Linked DNA regions of Lonchura striata. The protein of the gene in region 2 purifies or fractionates together with the protein of the main gene of each other region. This does not show direct contact. Links are inferred from orthologs where the notes say so. Each region holds a gene or a part of one and is shown on either strand. Other genes may lie near its edges. The genes, in order: EDC4, DCP1B and BAG4.

Region 1 (7,587 bases), on a different chromosome or scaffold from region 2:
AAGCAAACTCTTCTCAGTGGAGCCAGACAGTGTAACAAGAGACAGTGGTTAGAAACCATAACTTGGAAGGTACTGATGGGGAAGAGAAGATTTTGTGAGAAGACTGAAATCCTGGGAAGTGGTGCCTGAGCATCTTGTGAAACATCTGTTCTGTGAGAATTTGAAGACTCTGCTAGACAAGGCTGTGGCCTTTGAAAGATGTCCCTGCCCAGGACAGGATGATTGGATTAGATGATCTCTAAAGGTCCTTCTGTGGACTTTTACCATCTCTGTTCCAAACCAGCGTGTTCTGTGGTTCTGTGATGCAGAGCTGCTGCAGTCTGTGCTCATGCTGAGCAAAAGGCTGGCCTGGAAATCAGAAGATTCTTCCAGTCTAATTCTGGGACTTGTTTAATTTTTGTTTTAATTCAGTGATGTCATGGAAGAACTTGAACTGCACAAAGGAAAGTTTTATAGGAAGACTAAAGCCCCTTGTGTTTTGAGCCTGGGCTCACAGGGGTGGAATGCAAATCCTGAGTTGGACATGCCTGAATTTGGAGTGAAAAGTAAGGAGAGGGAGTTTCAGTGGTGTTATCTGAGCTGTGATGAAGATCTAAAATAATACAGAATAGGATTAGTCTGTGTTTTCTGTGGTATCTTGAGTCACTAAACTGTGAGCCTTTGCTATGTGCTAATATTACATAGTCAAAATTGGGGAATGGACTATAAAGTATATACGTCACCTTGAATGTAGTCTAGGATTTTCCTTGTTTTTAAAGTACACTGCTCATCTATGCTATGAAGGGATAACATGAAAGGAATAAAGAAAATAATAATGTGTGACTTCATTGTTGGAATTTGTTGTCTGTACCACACCAGATGTTTTGGGGAGAATTCCCTTTTAGTCTTTATTCATGTGTCCAGCGCTGAATTTCTTAAGAAAGGAGGAAATTCTCCTTAAGCCAAAGCATCAAGAGCTGCAGTGCTCTTATCAGAGGCTACCTAGGCTTATCAGAAATCAAGGAGACCTACAGTAAAGCTTGTCTGGTGATGGTATTTTTTTTTTCCAGAGGTATCTATTAAAGCATATTTACGTCAGTAATGACAAGCTCAAATTTGGTGTGAAAAGTACTTATGCAACTTGTAATAGATGCCTCGGTGATCTGCAACAAGGAGGACAACTGGGAGTTGAGAACCTGCTAACTCCCAAGCAGTGATGAGGCTCTCCTGGGATGGGTTACACTGGATACCCAGGAAAAGCTGGAAAAGGCACAAACCCATGGGCTTCGGTGCACAGGCCACCTCTACAGCACGGATATGTGAGCCTCTGTTCTGGGCACGTGCAGTAGAGATAATATTTCCTTTGAAACACTTGCCATGGCTGCTGGCAGATGTGCTGATGCACGCCATGGATGGCTGGTCTAGCCCAGCAGAATTGCTGGTGCTCACACTGGGCTCGTTCCTAGGGAGCTTCTGCCCCATGCAAAGCAGGTGTGTACTGAGGGACAAGCTGCCCTGTTTGTTGGCTGGACAGTGACTGCTGGCACCTGTCTTGCTTTGAGGATTTTTTCGCTCATTCTCAGAGAATTCTCTCAGTCTCAGTCATGTATTGAACACTGGCTTGCACATAATCCTGGCCTTACTTGTTGCCTTCCTAATTTCTGGCTGTAATAGTTTCCTCATTCACTTTCTTCTTCATGATTTTGTAGTAATTTATCTTGTCTATTCTCCCCATTCTCATTATGTTTTTGCAAGCTGAAAAGTTTTACTCAATTTACTTTCTTCAGTAGGAAACCATCCTCTAGCTGGATCATTTTTCTTGTCCTTTTATGACTTTACTGTAGCATTTTATTTTTTAACTTATAAGAAACGCATGCAGGTTTTGATATGTGGGTGCTCTTTGCCTATTTATGCATTTGCTTACTTCTGGGATTTGGTTCTTTGTTCTTCCCTAACAACTGCTAACCCTGTGCTTGCCTTGATAGCTTTACAGCTCTCAGCTGGTTTAATAAATACATATCAATTATTATTTCAGTGTCACTTTCATGAGGGGCCAGTCTAGGGCCCACTTTGGTTTACTCTGTGAATTAACACACACTTACTGAAACTGCACTTCATGTACACCACTTAACTTCCCAGCTGGTTGTCACTGTGAAATCCTTGCAGTGGTTATGGATCTGAATGCTTCCTTTCCATGCACCTGATGCCACCAATGTTCTGGCACACCTGCTGTCCTGTGATAGAAGTGATGTCCTTTGCAAGTTGGTCCTCAAAACTGACTTGTTTCACTGTCCATGAATACTTTTTTTAAAGTAAAGTTTCTTTTCTGATCTTTCTGTAGTCTGCTTTGCTCTTCACTTTTCACTTGTTCTCAGTGAACAGCAGCAGAGCATTGCCAATGAACATTCAGTGCTTTGAGTGCCTCTTTCATGAGCTGCTCTGGCTGCTGCTTTTCAAGCCTTTTTTAAAATAAATTTCCTCCCTTTTCTGAAGCTGAATAGTGATGTGTTGAAAAAATAAAGCTTAAAATCCTCCAGAAATGCTGAATTGAACACACTACAGCCACCATCAGAAGATTGTAGTTGGCCCTGTGTGCTGTTCAGATTAAATCCTGTTGTGTGGTTTCCAGCTGATTGATTTGGGAATCATTTATGTTATTTTGAGGATTTAATTCCTGCACGATGTCTCTGAAACTATGGATAAATAAAATTGGGTGGAAGTACTTACTAGTCTCCCTCTAATACTACTTTCTAGTTTTGTAGTAATGTTGTAAATACCCAGATGTGTTGTCAGGCAGGAGTGGAGGCACAGCTGCAGCCATTCCCTGTGCTTAGGACACGTTGTCACAGCTGTAGTGAATGCTCTGCTCCCTTCCAGCTGTTGCTGCAAGTGGGAAGTGCTGTGTTTCTGGCCAGCTGCACCTGCTCTGGCAAGGCTTTCAAAGCCCAGATCACCTGGATCATCCAGGCAACATGTTGATACCAACCTCTACAGAAACTCCCTTCTGCCATCAACCCAAAGTTCAGCAGTTAAAAATCACACCACTTTCTTTTAAGATTAATTCCTGGGCAAGGGCTTTGTGATTCAACACTGAGGCAGGCATGTTCCATCAGTGTGGTGAGTGACATGTCAGTAAGTCTTCCACCAAACCCCAACTTCAGATGCCGTTGCAGCATTTCCATGTCTCTGGGCCCTGGGTGTTTGTCTGCAAAGCCCTTCAGAACAGGTCCTCTGGTGGTGTTGGTGTCTCCTGGGGTGCTACACATTTTACAGCATGTAATGTCACTATTAATGTTAGCTTGAAGTTGTCTCATCATGAGTTTTGGAATAAGCTTATCAAAAAAATTAGTGTTTTGAACCTTTTTTCCCCCTCTCTCTTTCTACAGGCTGATGAAGATCCTATCATGGGATTCCACCAGATATTTCTATTAAAGAACATCAACGATGCCTGGGTTTGCACCAATGACATGTTCAGGCTAGCACTGCACAACTTTGGCTGAGCAGCCCATCCCGAGGCACCCGGGCTTTTTTTTTTTTCTTTTTTCTTTTATTTTTTCTTTCTTTTTTTTTTTTTTTTTTTTTCCCGTTTTCCTCCTCTCCTCTTAACTGGTATTATTCACACTCACGGAACATTCCAAATATCATACACAAACCTGCAGCACTGCAGAGCGTGAGCAAGCAAGACTTGTGACCTGCCCTTCTGCTGAGTTTACATTGTCACTAGATGAGTTTCTTGTGCATGATGTTTGGAAGTTAGACTTAGCTGCATTTGATAAGAGAAATTTGTGTTGTACCAGCATGCCTCGGAAAGAATTTATAATGCAAAAGGTTGTTGTTTATGTACTGACAAGATGCTCTATAACCCAAAGAAATGAAAGAACAGCAGCCTGTACAGCCCAGTTATTGATTTGTTCAGATGTTTCAATGCTACATTACACAATAAAACAGAGATTTTCTTAAAAGTTTAAATTGTTTTTATGAGTTGGCTGTGGAGTGTGTGTGATAAGTGCTTGCTGGGGGTAGATTGTGTCTGTCTGGTGGGGGAATGCTTGCAGAGCTGGAGCTCCAGCTGAACAATGCCTCACAGTTTCAGCAGCGAGTGCAGGGCACGTCTGCCCTCCTCCATACACCATCTCCTCAGCAGCTTTTGTAACCGAGCCTTCTGGCTCAGTTTTTAACACCGACAGCTTCGTTCTCACCTGTTGTATTTTACGGATGCAAATTCCCCACTAGTACAGTGGCGGTAGCCTGCAGTCGGTCTCCGTGCCCGCTCCAAGCCACGGGACACCTTTGTTCCCTCCGCAGGCGAACGCACACGGGCAGTCTGTGCCTGGAGCTCCGCTCGGTTCCGCGCTGCGCTGTGTGCAGCCTCCCCGTCCGGCGGCAGCCGCCGTGTGCGGGGCGGCGGCGGGGGAGCCCCGGGCCGCCGCGGCCCCGCCCCGCCGCGCCGGGAACGCTCCGTTCGGGCGGCGGTTTCCGCCCGGCGCTCGCAGGGCCGGGCCGGAGGCGGAAGCGCGGGCGGCGGGGCCGGGCCGGGCAGCGCGGTGGCGGCGGCGCGGGCGGGCGGCGCGCCGGGCCCCATGGCCTCCTGCTCCAGCATCGACATCGAGGACGCCACGCAGCACCTGCGGGACATCCTCAAGCTGGACCGGCCGGGAGGTGAGGAGCGGCGGGGCGCGGGAGGCCGCCGGGCCGGGCCGGGCGGGGCCTGGTCTCGGCCGGGCCGCGGGAGCCCCTCGGCCGTTGCGCCGCCGCCCCGCCGGTTGTCAGCGGCCGCGCTCGGGGCCCGGCCGGGACCGCTTCGCCTCGGGGCGCCTGGCAGCGCCCTCCGACCCGCCCAGGGCCAGGGGTCCCGCTCGGCACTGCCTCGCTGAGCCCGCGGTGAGGAGAGGAGAGGGGAGGGAGCCCCGGCCTGGGGACCCTCGCTTGAGGGAGGGGCTGCTGGCGCTGGGCAGAGCGAGAGCAGCCCGGCCCCAGAGCTCGCTGCTGCGGCGCTCTCGGGGCTCCATTCAGCTGGAGGTGTTGCTGCTGGGAGCTGAACCGCACCGAGCTCCGTGACACGAGTGTCCCCCCTTCCCGGGAGCACTGGGAGTGGATCGAGTGGAAGAGGCTTGTAGGCTGCTCTGAGATCAGTGCCAGGTTCCTCCTTTACACGAACTTTTCGCTCTCCTTATTTGTACGTGAAATGGGATCACGGATATCTCTTCTGAAGTGTTTGTGAGTCTTTTGTGCTCGGAACTATCATACTTCCCTGCTCAGAGTTCAGCGGGCTCCCTTCTGCCTGTAAGAGTATCAGCAGCAGGCTCAGGAGTCAGCTGGTTAGTGTTCCCACTCCCCTGGAGCTTCGGCTCTCGATCTCATCTCCTTTGTTGAACCTGCTGTGGTGTTTCAGTCAAATGTGGTGAGGTAACACTCTGAAGGAGGCTGAGACATGAATGCTGTGCAAAAATATCTTAACCTCTGGGTAGAGGACAGAATTATGCCCCTCTTATGCTCCTTTCAAGAGAAAGGCAGGACAGGAATAATATAACTTCAAAATGTCCTGAGACTCAGCGGGAACATGCTACCTCCAAAGCATCTGCCATGTGTGCTGCCTTTTGCTTGGGCAAAAGGAAGAGAGGGTGGGTGTGGGATTGTTGTGGAGGGCTGTAGAGGCCCTTGAAGTGATGGGCTAAACCTACAGGAAGGCAGCTTCATTAGCTCTACTACCCTTAGAGAAACTTCTCATTAATTGGAGTAGTTTTTGTGGTTTCTGGAGTGCTAGCACATGTCCTGAATTCTAATTCTTACAAGAAAAATTCGTATTTTATTTGTAGTGCAGCACAGTACTTGGAAAACTGAAAGGAGAACTCAGTGCAGGGATGGGGAAGACTCGTTTCACAAGCAGTTTCTGAACTGAAAGGATATATTGTGGTTGAGAAATGGTTGGAGTTGTTGCTCAAGATGACTTGACTTTCTTCTGAAGCAGCTTCTCCTGCTGGTTGAAGTCAAGGAGTTACTGACAGAATATGGCTTATTTTTTTCATTCTTCTTTCCTCTTCATTCTCTTTTTGCCTTCTCTGTCAACTCCAGTGCACAAGAAGGCATCTGAGAGGAGAAGGAACAAGTGGGCAGGAAGTTCACAGGAGGAACCTGTGGCTATTCTCAGCAGAAATCACTGCCTGCATAACAGCAAATAAACTTGAAAAGACTCACATAATAAGGGGAAGAAGAAGAGTGCACATGTTAGCTGAAAGTCTCTGAAACTCCTGTTAGGCTGCCAGGGGAGAGGAATAGGGGAGCCTTCAAGTTTTGCAGTACCAAGTGCAGGTAGCCCTGAGCAGTGTTGTGTTCCTCTAGATCCTGTCCAGGCAGGTGACAAGAAACACTCCCTGCTCCAAAGAGTTCACAACTGTCACAATACCCTTTAAATTCTGCTGGGCTTGGTGAAAATGTAATCCACTGCCCAGTCTGTCTCTCTTGACACAGTTTCTCCCAGTTTTGGCGAACTTCTTGCAATGCTTCAGTAGCTGTTGCCAAAGCATGGACCTGCTTGCTGGGATGTGGGGACAGGCTGTCAGTGCCATTGTGCTGAAGAGGAGCATCCCTGCTGGTGTGGGCAGGATCCTTCAATCCATAAGAGATCTCTGCTGATAACCAGGTGTTATGTGGGCTCACCCTGCTCATGGTGCATCAGGGCAGTGTTCTGTTCAGTGCATGCTGGCATCTCCTGGTGCTGATGGTGGGAGCAGGAAGAGTTCAGTGTCTCAGCTCTGACTGCTCCTGCTCTTTGAAAAGGTAATGAATTCATACACCTTTCTTTCTCTTTGAGACCTTTATCTACCAGTCTGGCTTAACTTTTTGGTTTAGTTCATGTTCTTACTAAACAGAGCCTCTTCCCTTCTTTTATGCCTTCAGGATTGTGCACAGGCAGCACCTATGCTTGTCTGGCTTCCACTAACACAGACTGAGCTGTGCCCATTCCTGAACTTGGGTGTGCTGTTGTTGGGCCCATCAGCCTCTGGGGAGTGTTTTCATCGTTCCTTTTTCCCATGGAGCAAACATCACTATCCTGCTGTCTGTAAAAGAGCAGCAGTACTTACATGAGAGTCCTGTGGCTGCAAAAGGGCAAAGCACATATCATCTTTCTCTGAGAGACGGGATGCTTTTTCTGTAGGGAATATTTCCCTGCCTTTGGTCACAAAGGATCAAGTGCTGTCAGTGGAAGTAGCTGCAACTGGACAAGCACCCACCATATGCTCTAGGAATAAGGGGCAGATCTTAATGCTGACAGCAAGCATAGCACCAGTGTGAGGTGCTGGATCACATTCCTTGCTTGAGTTTCCTTGTGCTGTGTGAGTGCTGCTGCTTTTTCTTCATGCAGTGCAGGTACACTGAGGCAAGTGCCCGAATTGTCCCTGCATCAGTGTACCCTGTCACTGCACATTCCTGTGTCCATAATGACTCTTCATAAACAGGCAAGCTTAAAATACCCTTCTGGCAAATTAATAACTGCAGTTGTGTTTTAGGCAGCAGCACTCACCCTGATCTGTTGAAGCCTATTCAGTGGCAGAAAGGTTGTCTTACTTTGGAAGGCTCTGCCTCTTGCCCGCAGTTACGTTTAGGTTT
Region 2 (7,075 bases):
AGGGGCTGAAAAACCCACATATTTCAGTTGTGCCTGGGAAGGGATGCAGCCAGACTCCAGCACAAAGCACAGGGCATTGGTTGCCAAAGAGGGAGAGTTACCATGCTGCAGCACTGAAGGCACATGCCCAGGAATATGTGGAGCATGGGTAATCAAGCCTTGCTGGATCATTCTGGCTCCATCAGAGCAACCTGCTGCTCCCAGGAAAGCAGCATGCTGGAAGGCATCACACAAATGCATTTAAGCAGCCCTGGATGAGTAAGAGGAACTTAGGAGTGCTGCCTCAGCACTCTCTCCTCTAGCAGGGGCAGCAGTGGTGCCACCAGTCAGGGTGAGAAGAAAACTGTGGCAGCCTTTGGGAAGGAATAAAAAGGAAAAGGCAACTACCATGCAATAACAGCGTCAAAGGGGCTGGAGAAGAGGAAGTGAGGCAAACGAGGTGCTCAGCACTACATTAGCTCAAGTGATTTCTGCTGTTTATCAGAAAAGGTGAAGCTCAGAGAAAGGAGCAAGTGTGGGCAGGTAGGCAGACAGCCAGGGGAGGCTGTGAGCTCAGCAGGGCTGTGAACACTTGTTTCTCACACAGTTCATTTCCCCCATTTGTCTGGTTCATACTGAGGCCACGCACACACCTGTGCCAGGCCGGACCAAGGTGCCAGAAGGGCAGGACTGAATGCCTGGGATTGCAGGGCTTGCATATGCTCAGCAGTGCCCCCAGATAAATCCACAGAAAATCACATGCTCAGCACCAATAATTTGCTGGAAGAAGCATGCCTGAATCTTTAAAAGTGTCACAGATCCTTGAATGCGAAGGTTTAATAACTGCTTGGAAAGCCCTCATGAAAAGGTTTGGCATGACCATCTCAACATTTGTTATTAAAGGAGACCTTCAAAATGTCATGCTGCAGGGATTTTGCCTTAAATCGGCCTGAGTATTATCTACACAAAATGTCATATCAAAAGCAAGATGTGGTTTCTGTTTTTTAACAGAACAGTATCCAGGTAGGTAAAGACAAAAAAGTTACATCCTAATTATATACTTCATGAAATTATGACATTTTGAAAGCTAGAAAATTACTTTTTTTCATAAACAAAGTTACAGCAAAATCATTCAGACTCAATTTTGCAGTTGTCATGAACTACTGGATTACTGACTGTAAGAAAAAGAAGCATAGTTTAAGTAATCAATGTTTTTAAGCTGTGACATTTTTGCTAAAACATCTTTAAGTTTTTAGAGAATTCACAGTGTTTCTCTTCTTAACATAGTCTTGTTTCATTGGAAAATTTTTAGTCTGCTATCAAGTGATCCCGTAAAGCAGGGCAGAACTAATGGCTTTATTAAATATATTTACTTCAGGCTAAATGGAAGGAGCAATTATATTCCACTTATGCAGGAAAACAGCTGGAACCCACTGAAGGTAGCTCAGAGTGTAACAGAAAATATAAAAAGGCCTGATCAGAAGCCTGACAGCTTCACTGACTCAAAACACAATGTTAGGGAACTGCCTGTCCAGCTGTGTGAGAAAGGGGCACAGGGACCTGGGAGGGAGGTGGTAAAAAGCAGTGACAAACAGAAACACACAGCCAAAAGATCTGACAGTCAGCTTCAAGAGATTTGAAGAGGAAAAAAAAAAAGGTAAAAAAGCAGGGCATCTTTTTTTAAGTATTATGGTTAGAGACAGGAAAAGCATCTGTAAAGGAAAAGTCAAGAAGTGAGACTCCAACAGTTTCACACTTCTAAGCCTTGCCGACAAGTTTGGACTTTGTGTAAGCAGGAGAATTGCCAAAGAATTGAAGATGATGGTAAAAAGAAGCCCCCAGCACATGAGGAGGAATCTGCTTAAGGGTGCCTGGAAACTGTGAATTGAGAACTATTTAATCAACAAAAAGAAACTAATACTCATCTTTTAATTATTTAAGCAAAAGCTGACTTATCTTTCCTACTTACTTTTTTTTTTTTTTTTTTTTTTTTTTTTTTTTTTTTTTTTTTTTTTTCCTCTCTACTCTGGGTCATGTCCAGACCAAGGACAGCATTTTTCCTTGTCCACCACGAGCCCATGTGTCTTCCTTGCTGTTACAGAATCTGTAGGTCAGCCAGAGCTTTGCAGTGCAACTGCTTAGAGCCATTTTCCTACCACAAGCATCACAAAAAACCCACAGAATTCTAAACTCTAAAGCTGTATTTCATCACAGCCCCAAATGAAACAAGGTGGCTTTAGACAAGGAGGAAATGAGAGAGAGACAGATTATAACCAGAGTATGTTCAGATGTTTCCTCTCCTAATAGATGCTTGCAGAGCAAGCTGTAGGTCCTTATTCTTGGTGATGCAATTTTTGATGACCTTCTGAGATACAATAAAACTCTCCTAAGTCCCAAAAACTATCCTTTTTGACAACATGGCCTCTCCTAACTCCACTCAAGAGACTTCACTCTCCGTACATTTAATTCTATGAATTCCCAGCTTGCTGTCTCTCAATTCTCTTCTATCCTCACTTCACACAATGAATCTTTTACCTAGACTTGCCTATGTGCTCTTGGAAGGACTCTACTGCTCACTCTATCCCACCGGCTCCATCTGGCCTGGAGCGAGAAGAAGGGAAGAAAAAACAGCAGACCTCATCCTCTCTGTTCAGCTCCTGTCCTTTCAAAAATGCTGTGTCAGGAATATTGCAAACAATTAAGACAGCATCCACTACCGTCACCTTGGTTCTTCCAGCGCATCCTGTTCTCTGGAAGTAAATATATCACGCTCCTGCTTCTGTACAGGGAAGGTGGTGACTGTCTCCAGAATGGCTACATCAGTCTGAGGTGATGAAGTAAAAAGAATTTGCTCTTGCAGAGCGTTCAGGCAGGAGGGTTAAGCAAAGCTTTTCCATGGAAGTATGTACTGAGCTTATCTGCATGCCTCATAAAGCTCATGTATTTGCTGTAAACTGTCGGTACCAACAGATTAGTAACAAACATGTGCATGTTTGTCTGATGGGAAAAGGTGGCAACTGAATCCTTGGTCTTGTCCATCTGTTGCTCGTGTTTGTGTAACTACATATTAGAGCATGCTTGCTTAGGTTTCAACTGCTTGTCACACATAGGAGTGTATATATATATATATACATCTATATATATATATATGAATGTGTTTGTGTGTATATTTATGCACACGAGGGCTGTGTGCTGCGTGGTGGTTTAGTTTGCAATGCCGCTCCCTTCGGCTGGGTGCAGGGGTGGATGAGGGTGCCAGCAAACACGGGCTGGCTGTGCTAGGCGATGCGAGCCTGGCCCGGGGGGCTGGGGCCGGGCAGAGCCCCTCACGGACCCCCGACCCCCTCACGGACCCCTGAACCCCTCCTGGACCCCCGAGCCCCTCACGGATCCCCCGCTGACACACGGGCTGGACGCTCGGTCCCGCTCTCTGCAGGGACACCAGAGCACCCACAAACTCAGAGCTGCTCGGGATCATCCCGCCCGACCCCTGCCCAGGCAGGGCCACCGGGAGCAGGTGGCACAGGAACGGCTCCAGGTGGGCTTGGAATGTCTCCGGAGAGACCCCACGGCCACCCTGGGCTGCTGTTCAGTGCCCTGCCATCCTCAGTGTGAAGTTCCACATGCTGCGGTGGAACTCCTCGGGCTTTAGTTTGTACCCGCCGCTCCGCGTCCTGTCGCTGGGCACAGGAAGTCTGGCACTTTCTCCTTGGCACCTGCCTTGGCGACATTTACAGATCCCTCTTAGATTTCTCTTTCCTACAGAGACCTAAAGCTGGACTAAACAGGCGCAGATCCCGCATGTCCCCTCCTCTAAGGGATGGAGGCTCCCCATCCGCAGCAGGAGCACCACAGCACTGCCAGGAGGACGGGGAGGAGCTGGAGCCACGAGCCGGTGTCGTGTGTGGGACGGCGCGTCCCTGCGCTGCTGCGGGCACACCGAGCGCCCCCGCGTCTCCATCCCTGCCGTCCCCGCCCGCCCCTCGCCACCGCCCGCCATCCCGAGCGGCCGCCGCTCGGCGCTCGATTGAGGCGGCTGCTCCCGGGGCGGCGCGGCTCGGCGGTGGATTGGTGGGGGCTGCGCGGCGGGCGCAAGATGGCGGCGGCGCTGGGCCGGGGGCTGGACATCAGCCTGGCGGCGCTGCGGCAGCACGACCCCTACATCAGCGGCATCGTGGACGTGGCCAGCCAGGTGGCGCTCTACACCTTCGGCCACCGCGCCAGCCAGTGGGTACGTGCGTGCCCGCCCCGCCCGCCGCGGCACGCCCCGCCCGCCGCCGAGGTGTGAGGGTGGGGGAGCGGGAGGGGCCTGCCGCTGTCTCCTCCCGGTGTCCCCGGTGTGCCCCCGGCAGCTGGCCCGGGCACGCCGAGGAGCCCCGGGGTGCGCGGGGATGCAGCTCTGGGAGGCTGCAGGATGGAGGAGTTCCGCCACGTGCGGTGGTGGAGGCTGGAGTTTAACCTAGAGCTGTGTTGGAAAAGGGTTTAGCCTGGGGCTGTGGTTTAATCTAGGGTTTAGCCCGAGGCCGTGGAAGATCGGGGTTAACCCAGGGCTGTGGAGGCTGGAGTTTAACCCAGGGCTGGTTTTTCTCCCAAGGCCATGGAAGGCTGTGGTTTAACTCAGGGCTGTTTCTTGTCCTAAGGCCATGGAAGACTGGGGTGTAACCCATGGCTGGGGTTTAACTCCTCTGCCTTTCCAACACCTATAATGAGACCCAAACATGTGCAAATGAATGGTGGAGTTACCAGTGCTAAAAGCATTGTTGTAAGATGTGCAAATGTAATTATCTTGGTGAAACTGGAGGTAATAGAACATTTAGGCTGTTGGCAAGTGGTTCTTGGTTTGCTGTAAGGGTGAGACTTTGGGCCTGTGTTTGAAGAACCTGCCCAATCTGCCTTTTGTGTTGTTTTCCCCCCCGTTTCTGTGCCAAACAACACCCTGGAGGGCAGGTGCCCTTTGAAAGCTCCTGTCTCTGCCTCTTGAGTGTGTGTTGTGCTCAGGTGTAACCTATAATTAACCCAGTGCAATGTTTAGTGCCATGGTGGTGTGCCTTCAGCCTTTCCATATCTTACCTCAAACCCTGGATCAGCTGTGTGGTGACCAGTGCTAGCTCCAGCCTCTCACCACCAACCCGTGAAATTTGGTTTAGTAATTTTTTCCTGTTTTGGGTGAGAGAGGTGTAACTGATGGTACTGATAAAACAGAAAAGGGGGCTCACTGATGGTAACCAAAACGCTGCCCTGTTTTCAACTTTCTTAATGTTCCTTTTCTTCAGGAGAAGACAGATGTGGAGGGAACGCTGTTTGTTTACACGAGGTGAGCACATTTTGACATATACAGGTGAAATCTGTGGATATGGAAAAGCTGCCTGGGATGGAGCATGGCTGAATGAAATAAAATGCTCCTCTTTGTTCAAGGGTGAAAAGAAACTGAAACTGCCAGAAGCAAATGTGGGAAAGAAAACCCTCTGAAGGAGACAAGACCTTGTATTTTGATAACACTTCCAAATGTGATTTAAATGTCAGTATGGGTAAACTGCAGAAATCTTCTGTGATGCTTTCAATAGGATTTTCAATTTAAATTTGTCTGAACAAAAAAAAAAAGTGAAATAATTATATTGCTTAAAGGAAGGGAATGTCAGAGATTTTGAAATACTGTGTCCCCTAATTAGGGAACTTTCATACTACTTGTGTCTGTTTTTCATGCATATTTCATCCAACATTTTGGATGGTTTTCATGTTTTTTTTTTTTTTAGCAGGAGCTCTGGTGGTGGCTTTCAGAGCATCATTTTTTGCACCATTTGTTCTAGTACGTGTTTGTTCTGTTGTGAAGCCCTGTGCTAGGGGCTCCTTGTTGGTGCCCCAGGATTTCTCTGTGACTGCTGTTAAAATCAGGAAGTTACACAGTCGGCAGCTCTTGCAGTAGCTGCCGAGGTGTAACACCAAAGCAGAAAGTTACTTTTTCAGCTTTCATATCAAAGAGGAGCTGGTAGGAGAGCTGAGAAAGCAAGAGATGGTTCTGAGAAGTGTGTGAGGTGACAGAGAGGCCCAAGAGCCTGTGAGCTCTGTGGGAAGTGGGAATGCTGTTTCAGTCTCTGCAGCTCTCTTGTACCAGCAATGGTGGCAGTGGTCATCAGTAGTTTTTCTAAGCTGCTCTCGGGTAAGTGGAGACCAGATGCTGTAAAATTACCACCACAAGAGGAAAGCAGCAGCCCTTTGTTGTGCTGGCACTAGGTGGATGTGGTGACTTGTGTGCTGAAAACAGAAGCAGTGTTTCCTGGTATGTTGGTTTCAAAGCTCAAGAATTGACAACATGAAACCTGGTCCTTCTGGTATTCTGGTATTTATCTTTCACTGTTGTTTTTGTTGCCTGAGGAGGTTTCCATTTAGGGCACAAGTTGCTGCCTGGCTGCACTTTAGCAGCAGTATGGAACAGGTTGTGAACAACTATGAGTAACAGCATGCATTGCCCTCATCATCAGTTTTAACTTTAATTTTCTGTAACTTCAAACACATTTATGAAGTCCTGTGGAAAGCACATTGCCAGCAGACAGTTTGGAGACCAGTGGTGCCGCCTTTGTTTCTTCTCATTACCTTAGTCACAATGTAAAATGATGGTTACCATTTTACTTGGGCTGACTTGCTGCCCAGCTCATCTTTGTGAATTAGAGGAAGTCAAAAAGTCAAACTTCCAACTGGATGAACACCATTGGAAGTGGACTGTTTGTTTGTTTGAAGTGAAATATTGATCCTTGCAAACAAGGCTTCTTGTCAAGGATTTCCTTTTGATTATTTTTTTGGTTAACTCCAATCCTGTAACACAGGTTCCTGTATTTTGGTTTAATAAAAAAATCCACACACCAGCAATTAAGTGGAGGTGGCACTTTTCCCAAATGTTTAGCCATCATCTTTTCCTTTCTTAACAAACTTGGTTTGAAAGGAGTGTCCCCTGTCAGGATCATGACAGGTTTAACAGTTTTATCTAAGTGACTTGAAGTGTAATCTCCATGAATGAGCATAATGGCTTAGAGTCGTAGCATGGTTTAGGTTCATCATTTATCAGGGATTATTCAGGGATGGGGGAGGATTCACAGCTGCT
Region 3 (7,703 bases), on a different chromosome or scaffold from region 2:
CGTGGCAGGCTGGTCAGCAGGTTTGAAGCCCAGCTCCTGGCTCCTGGCCATGGGCTTGCGAGCAGCGAGGTCATAGAGCTGGGGCTGGGCACTGTACTGCACCCGGGGCTGGCACGGGGCAGGCTTGGCCGCCCTGTGCTCGTTCACTGGCCCCGAGAGCCGCTGGTTGCCATCAGAATAGTAACTGTGCTGGCTGGGGCTTTGCTCAGGTCTGTAGACAGAGTCCTGCAGACAGAGGGAGAAAACATCTCTAAGTGCATTTCCCTTCAACCCGGAGGTTTCCGCTCTCATCCTGCGCCAAACAGCAGACAGGGCTGGGGACGCTGGGGACAGGGACCTGTGCTCTGCTCCCATGTCAGAAAGAGAAAGCCCAGCAAGGGGCACCTGCCCAGAGCAGTCTGAGCCCTGAACCCCCCAACAGGGCTGCTACTGCCAGGCACCAAAAACATGGAGTCACTTAATCCCTGATCCAACCTGGCCTGTCAGACCCATTTCAAGACCCACCCCAGGACATCTTGTCCTTCCAGTACTTTATGGAATTGCAGCCAGGGATTTAAGTCTTCTGCATGCACACAGGACCTCACCTGTCCCTGTGACTCCCAGGTGGGAGGGTGGGAAGCAGCCCCGCTGCTGGTCCAGGATGGGTGTGAATCCGAGACGTAGAGGCTGCCGTGCCCCGAGGCGGGCCAGGCGTAGCGAGGCTGCGCCCCATAGCCAGAGTGGGGGCCCCACGTGTCCTCCAGGGCTCTGGGCTGTGGCACCAGGCCCTGCCCCGTGAGCCCTGTGCTGCTGTCCCCGTATGGATACTGCGGCACTGGCATTCCTGGGGTCTGCACAGACAGGGAAACAGGCGTTACAGAGGGGTCACTGCCAGCCCTGCCCCCTCACACAGCCCTGGGAGCTGGGACGGGCATTGCAGGGGGGTCACTGCCAGCCCTGGGAGCTGGGACAGGCATTGCAGGGGGTCATTGCCAGCCCTGGGAGCTGGGACAGGCATTACAGGGGGTCACTGCCAGCCCTGTCCCCTCACACAGCCCTGGGAGCTGGGACGGGCATTGCAGGGGGTCACTGCCAGCCCTGTCCCCTCACACAGACCTGGACAGGCATTGCAGGGGGGTCACTGCCTGCCCTGGGAGCTGGGACGGGCATTGCAGGGGGGGGTCACTGCCAGCCCTGTCCCCTCACACAGCCCTGGGAGCTGGGACAGGCATTGCAGGGAGATCATTGCCAGCCCTGTCCCCTCACACAGACCTGGACAGGCATTACAGGGGATCACTGCCAGCCCTGTTCCCTCACACAGCCCTGGGAGCTGGATGGAACGGCTGCAGCTCAGGTTGGCTGCCCAATTCCCACTTTCCCAGCCCAAAAGCTGAGGGTTTCCAAAGAACAGGGTGACCACCAGTTTTGGTAAGATTAAAGCAGGCAGGACAAGACACTCCAGAGCCACGGGCACCCCCAGCCCACCAGAGCCTTTTCCCCCTGCACAGCCCCACGACACGTCCCGGGCACCACTCGTGCCGCGCTGGCAGTGCCCTTACCTGTGGCGGGGAGTAGCTGGGGGCCTGCTGCCTGCGGAGGGCCGAGCCCTCGGGGGGACACTCCGGGGGGCCGTAGCTCCAGGCGGGAGCGGGCGACGGGGGCCGGTAGAGGCCCGCGGGCTCCGGGGGGTAGGGGCTGCGCGCGGGCCCCGAGCAGTAGAAGCCCCGTGCCTGCGGCAGGCTGGCGTAGTGCGGGTACGGGGGGCTGTAGGCTCCGTTGGCATAGGGAGAATCCATGGCCTGGGGACAAGGGAAGAGCACAGGGAAGGTGACGGGACATGGACACAGGCAGAGGTGCTCCAGGAACAAGGTCTGGCCCTTCCTGCATTGAACCAGGGGGTTCCTTTGCCCTCAAGTGATCTGCCCCAGTTTTAGGCTTTCCTGGTCTAACCTGGCTGTACCAGGTCTAGCACTAAGCTTAACCAGGTCTTGCTCAGCCGAGCTGGGCTCAGGGGGAGGCGTGCAGCCCCTCACAGTGAGCAGCTCCTGGAGGATTCTATGCCAGTACTGCATCACTGACGGGAGGATGGAAAACTCTCCAGAAAAGTTCATTTCCCTGCTGATTCTCAAACAGACGAGCTCTGCCAGCCAGTGTTCAGCTCCTGGAGCTCCTAGAGCTGCAGCTCATGTGCATCTCTGTACGGAAGGTCTGCACACCCAAGGACATCCGAGGGTTTACCGGGATCCATCCCATGTTGTGTAGGGAACTCGAGTTTCCACCTGACAGCAGAGGGGATGTGAAGCACAGGCTTTCAGGAGCTCGGGGAATGACTCCCTGTACCTTCGGGCAAAGCAGTGTTCTGCCCCTGAGCTGCTTCCAGAGCGCAGGCTGTGCAGCCTGTGTGCCGGGATTTATGGAAGGGCTGGAGAAAAACCAAACCAAACCAAACCAGACCAAAGCACGGCTGGAGGGCAGAGCCTGCCCCGGCCGGGCAAAGCCCTTCTCGCCACACGGAATTTGCACGGCAGCCCGAAACGCAGCTGCCATAAACGCCGCAGGTACGGATCCGGGAATGCCCAGCCCCGTGACCGGGGCCCTCCCGCTCCGCAAAGCGCTCCGGGCCCCGCGTTCCCGGGATCCCCGCACGGCACAGGCGCCCGTGAGGCGGCTCCGCCGGCAGCGCCTCCCCGCGCTGCTCTCCGCCCCGTCACACGCCCGGAGGGCTCCGCGAGAAACCGGCGGGGCGGGGGAGGCTCCCGGGGCCCGCCCTGCGCGCCCGTTATCGGGGCAGGGCCGGGCCGAGCGCTGCCGCCCGCCCCGGGAATTGTGCCGATCCCGGGGCCGAGCCCTCCCGGGGCCGAGCCCTCCCGGTGGCCGAGCCCTCCCGGGGCCGTGCCCTCCCGGTGGCCGTGCCCTCCCGGGGCCGTGCCCTCCCGGGGCCGTGCCCTCCCCGGTGGCCGTGCCCTCCCGGGGCCGAGCCCTCCCCGGTGGCCGTGCCCTCCCGGGGCCGAGCCCTCCCGGGGCCGTGCCCGCCCCTCGCCCCCGTTACCTGCGCGGCCGCCGCGGGCGGGCCCGGCCCGGCCGTGCGGGGCTCCATGGTCGCCGCCAAGGCCACGCCCCCGCGCGCCCCGCGCCCAATCGGCGGCCGCTCCCCGCCCTCGCCGGCCAATCGGCGGCGGCCCCGCGCGCACGGCTGGCGCGGCTTAAAAGGGCAGCGGCGGGTGGGCCCCGCCCGCGCGGGCGGTTCCGGGGCGGCGGCGGCGGCGGCGCATGGCGGCGCTTCCGCTGCGGGCGCGGCGGCACCATGAACTACATGCCCGGCACGGCCAGCCTGATCCAGGACATCGACAGTGAGTGTCCCGGGGCGCCCCGCCCCGTCCCCTCCGTGGCCCGCCGGTGCCTGCCCTGCCCCCGGGTCCTGCCCGCGGTTCCCCGTGCGGCGCCCGGACCCCTCTCCCCGTAGCGGGTCCCGGAGCCGTGGGGCCGTGGCCGACCCGCCGCTCTCCTTTCCCGCAGAGAAGCACCTGGTGCTGCTGCGGGACGGGCGGACGCTCATCGGGTACCTGCGCAGCATCGACCAGTTCGGTACGGCCGGGCCGCGGCAGCGCCGGGGATGGCGAGGAGGAGGAGGGAGCGCTGCTTGCCAGTGGGCTTGTGCTGGGGGTTGAACCCCCCCCTCTGTCCCCTGGACCCCTTCTCCCACACCTGGGAGCTCCCCGTCCCGCCCTTGCATCCAGTGCTGGCGCTCTGGCGTCGCTTTCTGGGGAGAAGCAGCCGGGTGATGTTATGTTCGTCCTCCGGGTGATGTTCATCCTCCGGCCAGCACCCCGAGCTTGCAGCACCACCATCGCCATCATCTTCTGTGCTGCGGGGGCCCGGGTGGGCTCGGAGCCGCGGGGTGGGGACAGTGTCGGTAGCTTCGGTGACCCGGCTCCGGGCAGGCACCGAGCGCCAGGGGAGAGCCAGCGCCGGTGCTGCTCCGGTGGGACGGGGGACACTGCTCGGCCACAGTTCGCCGTGGAACGTCGGTGTTTTTCTCTCTGTCTCGTTGCTGCAGCAAACTTGGTGTTGCACCAGACTGTAGAGCGCATCCACGTGGGCAAGAAGTATGGGGACATCCCCCGGGGCATCTTCGTGGTGAGGGGCGAGAATGTGGTGCTGCTGGGGGAAATTGTAAGTGCTCGGCTCCCGCTGCAGTCTGGGCCCGGGCTGGGGGGTTGTGGTCTGCCTGTCTGTCTGTCAGCTCTGAAATGCGGTTGCTGTTGTGGGCTGGAATCGGAGCCACCTCCAGGGCCAGTTTAGGCTGAGCCAGCACAGAAATGCCAGCCTGCATGGCAGGGCAGCCTCCTGCTGCCGCAGCCCCTCTGGGATGACACCAGAACGAAGAACAACGCAGAGGGAGCTGTGGGGAAGCTCCAGCTTGTGTGGCACTGCTGGAGGCTGTCATGCTGGCTGCCTGTTACCTCCCTGCAGACACCACCTGGGATGGGCTCAGGAGGAGCCGAGCGCTGTTTGCTTTGGGGTGCCCAGGAGCCCCTTGCCAGGGCTGTGCTGGGGATCCCTGCCCACATCCCCAGCCCTCAGGGCGCTTCCAGCACCTCTGTTCTCTGTCAGCCCCACCGCTGGCTGCCGCGGGGGCACAGGTGCCCTGCGGTCCAGGGACGCTGTCAGAGCTGAGGGCTCGTTTCTCCTGCAGGACCTGGAGAAGGAGAGCGACACGCCTCTGCAGCAGGTGTCCATCGAGGAGATCCTGGAGGAGCAGCGGGTGGAACAGCAGGCCAAGCAGGAGTCGGAGAAGCTGAAGGTGCAGGCGCTGAAGGAGAGGGGCCTCTCGGTGCCGCGGGCCGACACGCTGGATGAGTACTGAGGTGCTGCCCTTTCCTGCAAGGAGCGAGGGCTGCTCCAGGACCTGCCTGGGCAGGGACAGACTGCCTTGGAAAGGCAGGTTTCATTTTCAGATTGTATTTTCTGTGGTGCTGGTAACTGCACACAAATCATGCCCTTAGTCTCCTTCTGGAGAAGGAGATGAGGAGGGCCCAGTGCACTGGGAGTGCAAGCATTTGTGTTTGGGAGGCAAATCACTGCTCCTTGGCTTTGTTTGCTTTTTCCTCCTCACGTGACTTTGGGTGAGAGTTTTCCTTGACATGTAAATAAATCCTTGAACCTGACATTGATGGCTTTCCGGTATTCTGGTCCTGGCAGTTCCCCCTCTCTCAGGATGAGCACTCCTCAGGCTAGCTCTTGTCCCCTCTGTGTGCTGTGCAGGGACAGACAGGCCCCCTGGTCCAGCCATGGGCTGGGCTCACTCTGAGAGAACACTGGAGCCCAAGGCAAGATCCTGCTCTGGGCTGGGGAGCAGAACCTGGGTACCCCCGTACCCCAACACAGACCACTCGTACCCCCCAGCTAGGCTGTGCCACTCCCCTGCAGCTGAGCCTGCTAATTACCAGCTGAAAGCACTAATTACCTGCTGGTGAAGAGCTGCTGCACCTGGGACACGGCAGAGCCTGGAGCTCCAGCCCCTCCTGGCCTCGCTGCTGGGGGAGCTGCTGCAGCTGTACCAGGCTGGAGAGTCCTTTGCCCCGTGTGTCCCGGCCCTCCCTGGGGAGGAGAGTCCTTGGCCTCGGGGCTGGCTTTGGGCAGCTGCCAGGCCCCAGGAGCCTCCTGGGTGTGGGCAGGGAAGGGCAAACCTCGGCAGGCACAGTCCCTGTGGAACCTCGGGCAGTGGGAGTTCTTTGGGTGAAGAGTTCCTGCTGGGGGGCAGAGAACAAACAGCTCTGCTTGCTGGGGCTGAGCACAGCTGCCCTGGAGAGCTGACAGCTGTTGTGGCCACTGCTGGCCCCCTCTCACTGGCCCAGGGACCACTTGCTTTGGTGGGAAACATTTCTGCCCCGTTGGGCTTGAGTGGGTGTTGTGGATAGCAAAAGTTTAAACAAAGAAATGCTATTTCTTGTTCTAACAGAATTTAATAAAAGGCATTTATGGAGCTGGCGCCTGTGGCTGGAAAGTCTCTGGCAGGTGGGGATGGCTCTTTGGGGGTGTTTTTGCTGTCCCTGTTTGTTTGGCAGTGTTTTGGGGTGAGGGGGGATCAGGGCAGCGATGCCTGGGGGGAGGCAAGGGCTGCCCAGCCCCGGTGGTGGGGTCCCAGCCCTGCAGCCCAGGGCTTTGGGGGTGTGGGGAGCTGGTGGGGGTCAGGACATGGGCTCACTTTGCTGCTCTTGAGCCCATTATCTTATCAGGGCGTCGGGTCGACCTCTGTGGCACCAGGGGCTGTGGTTTGTCTCTGCTCTCCAAATAGCACCACAGGCAGCCTTGGGATGGGGGGACACCCTGGCCGGGCTGCTGCAGGAGGGACAGGGTCACCCCGACAGCCACCTCTGCTGCAGCCCTGCTGTGGGAACGGGCTGGGAGAGGGGAATGCGCTCGGAGGGGGCTGGGCTGGGCAGGGTGGGGGGTCAGGGCACCCTCAGGGCTCTTGGGTCCCTCAGCCTCCAGGCCCTGGTGCGGCTCCGGTGCCTTTGGTTGGCATCATTGTGGTTTTGTACATTTGTGAACGTTTGTACTTCAAGCCCTATTAGGTGAATGCAAGTGGAGCTGTGTGGTGACTTTGTGCAGGAGCCTGGGGGTGCCTCAGGGGGCTGTGGGGGCTGGGGTGTCCCAGTTAACCAGATCCCCCTGAGGGTTCTGAGTGCTTTTTGGGGTCTGTGTCCTGCTTTGGGGTGTGGCCACCTGCAGCATTTCCTCACCAGCACGGTGTGGCTGTGCCCGTGTCCCCTCCTGAGGGCACAGCTGGGGTCGTGCCCCTCCAGCCCGGAGCCAGAGGGGCGGCTCTGCACGGTTTGTTTTGGTTCTTCTCACAAACAACTGCGTGGCCTTGTGCCGAGGCCGGGAGCGGCGGCTCCATCCGGGAAAACAGCCCTGGATCACTCAGAGCCTGGGGCTCCCCGGGGCTGTGTGTGCCTGCTCCTGGGGCAGGGGACTGCACTGGGATGGGACTGGGAGAGCTGGGGTGGGACTGGGACTGCGAGGGCTGGGGCAGTGCACAGCACTGGGGTGGGACTGGGAGGGCTGGGGCAGTGCACAGCACTGGGGTGTCTCTGGTGGCCCCAAACACCCAGACCTGTCACTGCTCTGCGTGTGCTTGGCCAGAGCTCTGGGCTGGACACTCCTGGCTGAGACTCAGGGGTTCCAAACCCTCCTGGGTCTCCCTCTCCCCATGTGCAGGGAGATGGGAGCAGGTGGGTGAAGCCCAGAGGTGGGGAGAGCTGTGGCATCACCCGGGAATCACACCTGTGGGAGCATGGCTGCAAAGAGGAATTCCCAGTAAAGGTTTTGGAAAGGGATGGTGCAGTTTCTGCCTCCTCCTGATGCCTCCAGCACCTCCCTCTAACCCCACACTGCTGACCTGAGCCTGAGGTATTTTCTGGCACACAGTGGAGGATGGCAGCCCTGACAATACAGAGGAACATCCCGTGGGGCAGCAGGACCCTTCTGGAGGGCAGGTGGGACTCAAATCATCTCAGGAAAGCTGGGGACAGGCTGGGGGAGACAAAGGGCTCCCTGGGGCCGGGCTGCTGGCACAGTGAGGGGGTGACCCCCCCCGGGCCAAGCTGTTGAAATGGGGGAGCAAGGTCAGGCTCCCTGCAGGAGGGTGCAGGGGCTGACGTCAAAGGAAGCAGCTGTAATTCACAGGTTCCTGGGAGTGCTGGTCTCCAAGCCGTAAT

What was found.
Region 1: the proteins of DCP1B (region 2) and EDC4 purify together in Homo sapiens (affinity purification with mass spectrometry; 3 studies listed by BioGRID and IntAct, with this or other methods). This does not show direct contact. The link is inferred for Lonchura striata from reciprocal best matches to the Homo sapiens genes DCP1B and EDC4.
Region 3: the proteins of DCP1B (region 2) and BAG4 purify together in Homo sapiens (affinity purification with mass spectrometry; 3 studies listed by BioGRID and IntAct, counting the BioPlex papers as one, with this or other methods). This does not show direct contact. The link is inferred for Lonchura striata from reciprocal best matches to the Homo sapiens genes DCP1B and BAG4.

The regions. Positions count from the first base shown.
Region 1 is NC_134615.1:16,944,091-16,951,677, reverse strand, and holds the start of EDC4 (enhancer of mRNA-decapping protein 4), read left to right. Parts: upstream 1-4,510; 5' UTR 4,511-4,559; coding exon 4,560-4,638; intron 4,639-7,587. Other genes in the region: NUTF2 (nuclear transport factor 2), read left to right, coding at 3,366-3,479. UniProt on the Homo sapiens protein: In the process of mRNA degradation, seems to play a role in mRNA decapping. Component of a complex containing DCP2 and DCP1A which functions in decapping of ARE-containing mRNAs. Promotes complex formation between DCP1A and DCP2.
Region 2 is NC_134607.1:12,757,745-12,764,819, reverse strand, and holds the start of DCP1B (mRNA-decapping enzyme 1B), read left to right. Parts: upstream 1-4,041; 5' UTR 4,042-4,075; coding exon 4,076-4,210; intron 4,211-5,252; coding exon 5,253-5,293; intron 5,294-7,075. UniProt on the Homo sapiens protein: May play a role in the degradation of mRNAs, both in normal mRNA turnover and in nonsense-mediated mRNA decay. May remove the 7-methyl guanine cap structure from mRNA molecules, yielding a 5'-phosphorylated mRNA fragment and 7m-GDP.
Region 3 is NC_134634.1:4,382,796-4,390,498, reverse strand, and holds the start of BAG4 (BAG family molecular chaperone regulator 4), read right to left. Parts: upstream 3,079-7,703; 5' UTR 3,077-3,078; coding exon 3,029-3,076; intron 1,779-3,028; coding exon 1,539-1,778; intron 831-1,538; coding exon 585-830; intron 226-584; coding exon 1-225. Other genes in the region: U6 snRNA-associated Sm-like protein LSm1, read left to right, coding at 3,284-3,329, 3,496-3,564, 4,037-4,152, 4,676-4,846. UniProt on the Homo sapiens protein: Inhibits the chaperone activity of HSP70/HSC70 by promoting substrate release. Prevents constitutive TNFRSF1A signaling. Negative regulator of PRKN translocation to damaged mitochondria.